2 linked regions of the Saccharomyces cerevisiae S288C genome follow. The protein of the gene in region 1 interacts with the protein of each later gene in a biochemical or structural test. Each region holds a gene or a part of one and is shown on either strand. Other genes may lie near its edges.

Region 1 (5,046 bases):
TACTTTAGCGGAGAGGACTGTCCTAGCAAGAGTTGACTGCCCCTTTATTGTTCCGTTGAAGTTCTCATTCCAATCTCCGGAGAAGTTGTACCTAGTATTAGCTTTCATTAATGGCGGTGAACTGTTCTACCATTTACAACACGAGGGACGATTCAGTCTAGCACGCTCCCGTTTTTATATTGCAGAACTATTATGTGCTCTCGATTCATTACACAAACTTGACGTCATTTATCGTGACCTAAAGCCTGAAAACATTCTATTGGATTACCAAGGACATATTGCACTGTGTGATTTTGGGCTTTGCAAGCTGAACATGAAGGATAATGACAAAACAGACACTTTCTGTGGTACTCCCGAATATTTGGCACCAGAAATCTTGTTGGGGCAGGGCTATACTAAAACAGTTGACTGGTGGACATTAGGTATCTTACTGTATGAGATGATGACAGGGCTGCCACCATACTATGATGAGAACGTTCCTGTTATGTACAAGAAAATTCTGCAGCAACCGCTACTATTTCCTGATGGATTTGACCCTGCGGCAAAAGACCTATTAATTGGCCTCTTAAGCAGAGACCCAAGCAGAAGACTCGGCGTTAACGGTACAGATGAAATTCGTAACCATCCTTTCTTTAAAGACATCTCATGGAAAAAGCTACTTTTGAAGGGCTATATTCCGCCTTACAAGCCAATTGTAAAGAGTGAAATAGATACTGCAAATTTTGATCAAGAGTTCACTAAGGAAAAACCGATCGATAGTGTAGTGGACGAGTACTTAAGTGCAAGTATTCAAAAGCAGTTTGGTGGGTGGACGTACATTGGTGACGAACAGTTGGGTGATTCTCCTTCGCAGGGGAGAAGCATTAGTTAGAAGCAAGCCGAAGCAAGCCGAGCCGAGCCGGACGGAATTTATAGCTATAGCCGCAAGAGGTTGCAATTTTCAAAAATGGATAGTTCAAGTAGATTGCGATACGCACTCCGTTACTATTGTGGTTAACGGGGACAAGAAGAACTACAGAAAATAGAATGGTCCGCAGAGGCTGCGCTCTTCTTTTAGCAACTCTCACACGACTTATGTTGCTTATTCATTTCTTTTACAGCATTATCAGAATTCTTCCATCTACGGAATTGAGATCAAAGACCGACCTGTTGTCGGCCGAAGGACGGACGCTTATACCCGCGGATGTCAAAGCGAAGCCCGCGGGGCGCAAGTCGAGGTTACCGGAATTCGCCAAACGGCAAAGGACCCTTGCATTGCCTGAAAGGAAAGATTCGCTTTTCTGTTTGTTGCCACTTTTCTTACATAGTCTGGGCCGGGAGCAGCTTATTTCTTCCGCGGATGATCCTGGATTTCCTTGCGCGGGCTCAGCCATGGGGAGCCTTACCTAGTCCCGTAAAGGGAAAAAGCTAACCTCATTCGCCTCACAGGGTGAAAGCGTGAACAAAAAAAAAAGAAAAGCTTAATGATTAAAATTTACAGTATATATATATTTGTATTTACGTATTAAACTATATATAAATAGATATGTATGCCGAAAAAGTAAAGTCTGGGTGATGCCTAGTCCAATCTTTCTTACTACTGTCCAGTTTCTATCGTAGCAGTTAATTATACATAGAACTGTGTAAATTCAACGCATTAATTTTTTTTTTTTTCACTTTCGCAGTTAGGGGGGACACATTTTTTTTGCCCTTTCTTAAGCTTCGTAAGCGAGTTACATCATTATTTCTTCCTGGGATACAATACGCGTTCGTACAAGTCACAGCTGGACCGTATAGGGAACAAGACTGCAACTCTCTCCAACTTGTTAAACAGAGGAGGAAAAGAAAGAGGGAAAAGAGGAACAAAGACAATCAAAGAAAAAGAATAGAAAGCAGTTGCTGAGCTCTTGGCATATTGTATACGGTAGTGGCGTATAATATAGTACGAGAATTAGAAATATGACGAATATGGCGGAGGATAAAACAAGTATAAGCAAGGTACATTCTGAATTCAGCAATTCCTCGAATACCACTGGATCTGAAGAGGAGAGTCGGTCGCATCAAGAGAGCTTCGACGGCGAGTCCAGTTCCGGTGAAAGTAAAAGTAAAAGCAAACTAAATCTTGAATATTCTGCAGATATCGAGCCATTGAAGTTCAGAATGACAAAAACTAATAATACAAATGACAAATTAAAATATAGTAACAACGGCAACGCCACTGATTCATTTATGAGACTAAAGGAACATTTACAGAGAGGCAATACTTTAAATTCGAATCTTAGGGTCAATGAGTTTTACCCTTTCAATTCCATTGATACAGAGCAATTTGAAAACTATTTGAGAGAGCCAAAATACATTAAAATGTTGAAACGTCGGAAAAACCTGAAACAATTTAGAAGATTGTTTCTCGCGCAAGAACTAATGGCCTACGAAGGTGAAACGGTTACCTCCACTTCCAAATCATCTGAACCAACCTCTAAAGCTATATGGAGTACAAAGTTTAGCCGCGATGGAAAATTTATGGCCACTGGTAGCAAAGATGGTAAAATAAGAATATGGAAAGTTATTGGCTCTCCAGTTGAAAGAGCCGAATTGGACTCGAGTGCGGAATCAAATAAAGAGGCACGAGCCAAGTCGATGCGGATCAAACAGCAGGTCAGTTCATTGAACAATCCAAAAGAAAAACAATTTTTGGATTCTGCTACAGAGAAATACGAAGAGAAGGAAAAATTATTGAATTTGTATGCGCCTGTCTTTCACCCAACGCCTTTGCGACTGTATAAAGAACACGTGCAAGATGTTCTGGATATAAATTGGTCTAAAAATAATTTTATTTTGTCAGCATCGATGGATAAGACAGTAAAACTATGGCATCCCGATAGGAAAAATTCACTTAAGACATTCATACATCCTGATTTTGTCACTTGTGTGGAATTTCACCCCACCGACGATAGATTTTTCATTAGCGGCTGTCTGGATCACAAATGCAGGTTATGGTCTATACTGGATGATGAAGTTAGCTTTGAGTACGATTGTCAAGACTTAATAACATCTGTTACATTATCCCCTGAGGAGGGAAAATACACTATAATAGGAACATTTAATGGATACGTTCATATTCTGATGACCAGAGGTCTCACTCCAGTTTCTTCATTTCACGTAGCTGATAGACAAACACAAGAACAAAACGCTCACGTCATGGTCACGGAAACTGACTCAAAAATTCGTCATGGTCCACGTGTGACGGGTTTGCAAGCTTTTAGATCTCAACTGGACAATTCTTTCCGCTTAGTAGTTACATCGAATGATTCGAGGATAAGAATTTTTGACTTAGAACAGAGGAAGCTTCTAGAGGTATTGAAAGGCTTCCATAGCGGATCTTCCCAACACAAGGCACAATTGTCCATCTGGCATGGTCAGCCAATCGTTGTAAATAGTAGTGATGACCATTGGGTTTACGGCTGGAGGTTAAAGTCTTCGGATAGAGAGAATGATCAAGACGAACCTAAAAGGAAACCAAAGGGATTGGCTCGGTCCGGAAGTTTGAGAAGCATATTTAGTAAATCAATGAGTAGGTCTTCCAGCCAGAATAACGAAGAAAAACCACATCATCATTTAAAACTTACTAACTTACTTCCCTTGCCTCATCATAGCAACGATCATTATATCAAAAATACGGATTACATTTCTTTTCATGCACACAATGCCCCTGTTACTTGTGTTAGCATTGCACCGCCAGAAACTTCGAAAACATTATCTTTGTCTAACGATGTTATCTGCGAGCTATCTCTAGAGTTTTTTCAGACATCCGATAGTTTCGATGTTTTGAGTCGGAGTAACGACGATGGCATAATGTCAGATGTAGAGTCGTCTTTGGGCTACAATTCTAAACCAGGCTCAATTTCTAATGCTTCCGCCACCAGTGCTATCCCAGATGTCGTTGACGCAATTGGAACGATATTGATCAGTACTGATAACGTAGGGACTATTCGTGTGTTTAGAGCAGATATGCCCTCTGTTATAAGAAAGCGCGTGTTACTCAAACTAGAAGAATACAATAGAGAGGTTCGGAGAAGGTTTAACAGTTCTGATTCTTTGCATTCTTTGAGTCGAAGCTTCAACTCGAGAGCGAAATCAAACTTGGCTGGCCAACCGGCAGCGGCGTATACTAATACTGGAAAAGGCTATGCAACGGGACGTGGATACTCTAATATATGTCCCAAAAGCAGTACATCACTAAAAACACTCGGCAGTAATGCACAGCCAAGAACACCAAGGGAAAGCATGTCATCTATTTTCTCCAATGCACATGGGCCTACCACTCCAACGAGCGCAATGAATTTACCTATCCGTTGCAATGTTTGTAACGGTTCAAGGTTTGAGGCTTTTTCTGGTGCTAATGACCAACAAGATAGAAACTATTATTGCGTAGACTGCGGTACAGTAGTTAATAACTTCCGCTAACGCTGATGGAGTATTTTTTTTCCGTGGATGATACCTTTAAATGCATATTAATCTTCGTACATAAAGTAAAGAAACACGATACACTTAAATAAATTTTAATCTAATAATTAATGAACGCTAACAATGAGCCTATCATTTGTTGCCGATATACTATAACGTATCTCTTCGAAAGAACAAAACGGAGTGAGTGCCTGTTAAGGGTAACTACTCCAAACTGAGTGGACCTCGGCGGCTAAAGCTATACTTTTTCTGTTATTTAAGGGACCTAAAAATACACACAGAGTAGATTAAGATTTGGTGCACTTTTCTCAATTTATCAACTTATAAAGAACAGGCTGCCTTTCAAACATAGGACGTTTCTGTTGACCATAATGAAAATGCCCAGTATTATTCAGATTCAGTTTGTAGCCCTAAAAAGGCTTTTGGTAGAAACCAAAGAACAGATGTGCTTCGCAGTGAAAAGTATATTTCAGAGAGTATTTGCGTGGGTTATGTCATTAAGCTTGTTTTCATGGTTTTATGTAAATCTTCAGAATATTTTGATAAAAGCATTAAGGGTAGGGCCAGTGCCTGAACATGTCTCCTTTATCATGGATGGTAACC
Region 2 (4,579 bases), on another chromosome or scaffold:
CTCTGGTCCCTTATACAATCCACAGGCAAAAAAAAATTACATAACAAGATTACTCTTCAAGAAACCTGGAAAATATTTTTTTGGGCAGTTTTTTAAGACGATAATAAGTTCTATGCCTCATTTACGCACCAGCGGTTCTATTACCAAGCTGACTCTTATCGGCGATGAGTATGATCTAAGGCTCGGGCCGCCCATTTTGCTGCTCCCGGTCAAGTAGCACGCTCCCTCTTTTCTTATCGCAGGCTTTGCCCACTACCCGATCTCTAAAGCGCCCATTTAACCTTTTTTAAAACAACAGCTTAAAAGCTTTTTGGATAAAAAGCTTTTATTACTACATCTCTGCATCTTCTCTCCGGGGTCTAAGAAAAGGGCTCAAATTCGCGGAGTTGAGAAACGAGAAAATCCAAATAAAGCGAACAAGAGGGAAAAAAATTTTTTCTTCCGTTCTTTCCTTCTTCTATACTTCAAGAAAACAAGCAAACGCACCCACTACACACAAAGTATCTTTTACGAAACATAACACAAGAATCCAATGTCAGGGAACCCAGGAAGCTCGCTGAGCGCATTGAGACCTACTCCACCCGAGAGAGGTTCGTTCCCGCTAGACCACGACGGCGAATGCACCAAGTACATGCAAGAGTATCTCAAATGTATGCAGCTTGTGCAGAACGAAAATGCAATGAATTGTAGACTACTGGCAAAGGACTACCTGCGGTGCAGGATGGACCACCAATTGATGGACTACGATGAATGGTCACATTTAGGTCTTCCTGAGGATGCTCCAGGCAACAACGGTAAAACCATAAAAGACGCCACCGATAATAAATAGCCGCCCACATCGGAATATCGAATAAAAGCTAGACGCTGTTGGTAATATCATACTTTCTACAACAACTGGTAAAGAACTTCTTTTTTTGAAATAGCCGCCGATATGGCGCGAAGTGACCCTGCTCGAGGCTGTGCGGGCCCAGGCCCGTCCGTTTCTTTTTTTTCTAGGGGGCGGCAAACGGGCCAAAGGGGTCAGCGTGATTGGGCGGTTTTCCACAAAGCTTTAGTCTCTCTCCTCACGCCTTGGCTTAGTGAGTGGCCGGAGTTAAAGTTGCGAGGAAACACACAGCGAAGGGAAAAAGCTTTGGCGTGCTTAACGATATGGCTTATGGCCCGGTTGCAATGCTGGTTTAGTTTCCGATTACGATTTTCGATTTGAATCCTGGCTCCACATCTCCCACCCTCTTTTTTTATCTCTAGCATCGTGCGTTGGATTTTATATTATGAAGTTCCTATATTAGAATAAAGTTTAGTATTTACTTCCCAGATCTACCGGATTTACAAAGTATTGTTACCTCACCACCAAGTGAAAGGAAACAGTGCAGTAACTCCTCGTGCTTACGCTAACTAAATAGATATTATATTCACGAAATACTGCGCCAGATAGCAAGCAAACCCAAAAAAAAAAAAGAAAAAGAAAAAGGAAACAAAGTGGGAGACAGAAAAAGAGTGAAAGAAACATAGTATTTACCAAGTCGAAGATTTAGCACAACAAAGACTAATCTACACGCATACTGCTCTTCTTCATTATTGCTTTATCTTCCGCGTACCTTAGTTATGTCACAGAATATTCAAATTGGCACTAGAAAACGTTCAAGAGCAAATATGAATAATTCCACTACTACGGGCCCTGCTAACAATACAAGCTCTAACAAGACCTTTTTGGATAATTTCGAAGAAACGCGCACAAACAAGCTGCTGGACGAGATGTTTGCTCGGCAAAATTCTTTTCTAACAGACAATCTGAGGAACAGTCTAGACCTGAATCAAGCAGACAATCCGCTCCGTCCTCGGCAACACCAACACCAGTTGTTCTTGGACAATGAAAATGCCATAGAACTAGACGAGGAGCCGCGTATCATTAACACCACAATCAATAACAGTAATAATCATAACAGTAGTCGAGTGGACGAGGATGCTGACGATGACATCATTTTTATCAAAGAGCAGCCAATTCAGTTTTCGTCACCTTTGATTCTGCCTAGTAGCAGCAGTATCAATAACAACAATAATATTGTTACTTCAAATAATCCAGGGTGCGGTACCGCAGCTACAAGCAATAGTACGTATATCACGACACCAAAGAAATTCAAGAAGCAAAGAACCATCTCACTGCCTCAGTTGCCTCTATCGAAGCTGAGCTACCAATCGAACTATTTTAATGTTCCTGATCAAACCAACGCTATCGTGCCAAGAGTAACGCAAACTGAAAATGAGCTGTTGCATCTAACGGGGTCGTGTGCAAAGACTCTGGAGGGCAACAAGGCAGTGAATCTCACGATTGCTCACAGCACTTCTCCCTTTTCCAACCCACCAGCACAAATAGCTTCCCTGCCTCAATCCAACCTCAAGAAACAAATTGGTTCTTCACTACGGAAATTTACATCAAACGGCTCTTCAGAAAGCGCATCATCCAATAAATCAAATTTCAAAACGGACAAAGACGGTCACTACGTTTACCAGGAAAACGACATATTTGGCAGTGGCGGCCGCTTTGTTGTGAAGGACCTATTGGGCCAAGGCACGTTTGGTAAAGTACTTAAATGCATCGATAACAAGTATGAACCTAATTACGTGGCTGTAAAAGTGATAAGGGCTGTAGATAGATATAGAGAAGCCGCCAAAACAGAACTAAGAATTCTACAGACTATCCTGAATAATGACCCTCAAGGTCAGTTCCAGTGCCTCTTGCTAAGGGAGTGCTTCGATTACAAAAATCACATTTGTTTGGTGACAGATCTATACGGCAGGTCCATTTACGATTTTATGTGCTCCAACGGCATTGCCAGGTTCCCCGGCTCTCATATTCAGGCCATTGCCAGACAGCTAATCAGATCTGTCTGCTTCTTGCACGATTTGGGCATAATACACACGGATTTGAAACCAGAAAATATCCTGATTTGTGACGAAACCCATATTGCTCAAAAATTGCCTTTGAAAACCGTACAGTCGCTAAGCAAGAGACGCCGTGAAGCCAGTAAGGGGAAGCGCAAAATCTTGAAAAATCCAGAAATCAAAATCATTGATTTCGGTAGCGCAATTTTCCATTACGAATATCATCCTCCTGTAATATCCACTCGTCACTATAGAGCCCCGGAAATTGTCCTTGGCTTGGGCTGGTCGTTCCCCTGCGACATTTGGTCCATCGCGTGTGTCCTAGTAGAACTGGTTATTGGCGAATCTCTTTACCCCATTCATGAAAATCTAGAACATATGGCTATGATGCAACGAATCAATGGAACCCCTTTCCCCACAGACATTATTGATAAGATGTTTTACAAATCTAAACATAAATTGGGCAACTCTCCATCAGACCTAAATTCAACGGTGATAAAGCATTTCGACAGAAAAACTTTAAGCTTACAATGGCCTGAAAAAAATAAACGCGGAGATACCATAACCACCGAAAAGTCAATGAAAAGGGTCTTGCAGTCATGTGATCGCTTAGATATTTACATCTCAAAGGTCTTGAAACAGGATTACGGCGATAGCTTAAGCATCAATTGGAATCTACCGCCGGAGAAAAACTGGTCTTTGATAAATTCGAAATTGGCATGGAAAAGACAAACACATTCCTCTTCTTCCTCAACTACTGATGAACTCGATAAGGAAACTTTCTTGTTTTGGTACTGGTTCATCGATCTACTCAGGAAAATGTTTGAGTTCGACCCAACAAAAAGGATTACCGCAAAGGACGCTCTGGACCATGAATGGTTTAATCTGGGCATACTGGATGATGGTATTGCAACTTATAATAATACCCAAGGATAGTGGGTGTTCTCGTTCTACTTTTCTCTTCTTTTTTTCACATCTTTTACTAGTTCCGTTTTTTTTTTTTTTAACTCTTCTTTTTCATTTTCCGGTTTTTAATAATATTTCTTTAAATTTCTATATTCAATAAAAATTCTTCCTACATATATATCTTCATATTCAAACATTTATAGTATTTTTACTAATTTTTTGTTGTTTTAATATACTATAATAATATTATTATTACTGCTACTACTATTATTATTATTATTATAATTATTATTATTATATGTCATACATAATACATTCTATTGATTGTCTTTGTCTTCCTTTTCTTTCTCCTCTAGATACTACTAACTTTACTTCAACTTCGAATTCAAATAATTTATTTCGTCCTTCAAACTTGCCTCTTCTACAGTTTTTACCAGCTCCTTTGTACATTTGGCAACATCAAACGCAATCCCTGCCAACCGCTGTTTGAAGTTTTTGTCAGCATAATCTTGATCGCTCTTTTCCTTCGCTAGTATTCCATCGCCAGTTAATTGGCACAAAATTGTCATTCTACGCGAACAGTCTCTTAGACTTTGCACCACCCAATCACCGTGTTTCTTCAAATTGGCATTTCTGCTTTGCTCCATTGATATGCTAGTAGCGTCCACCATTTGACCTATGACTTGGTTGATTGCATTCGATTCTCCCCTCAAATTACCCTTCGTCACCTGTGGTTTCTTGATCGATGTCAAAAGCGATTGAATCGTGGATATGACGTCCATTGTTTGAT

Evidence for each region.
Region 2: of the proteins of LAF1 (region 1) and KNS1, one has a biochemical effect on the other in vitro, tested with the Saccharomyces cerevisiae proteins (one large-scale study listed by BioGRID).

Annotation. Positions count from the first base shown.
Region 1 is NC_001145.3:469,245-474,290, reverse strand, and holds LAF1 (Laf1p), read left to right. Parts: upstream 1-1,938; coding exon 1,939-4,443; downstream 4,444-5,046. Other genes in the region: putative protein kinase YPK2, read left to right, coding at 1-871; YMR103C (uncharacterized protein), read left to right, coding at 1,027-1,389; SRT1 (ditrans,polycis-polyprenyl diphosphate synthase), read left to right, coding at 4,815-5,046.
Region 2 is NC_001144.5:104,926-109,504, reverse strand, and holds KNS1 (serine/threonine protein kinase KNS1), read left to right. Parts: upstream 1-1,605; coding exon 1,606-3,819; downstream 3,820-4,579. Other genes in the region: COX19 (Cox19p), read left to right, coding at 533-829; SPA2 (Spa2p), read right to left, coding at 4,158-4,579. UniProt on the Saccharomyces cerevisiae protein: Nonessential protein kinase.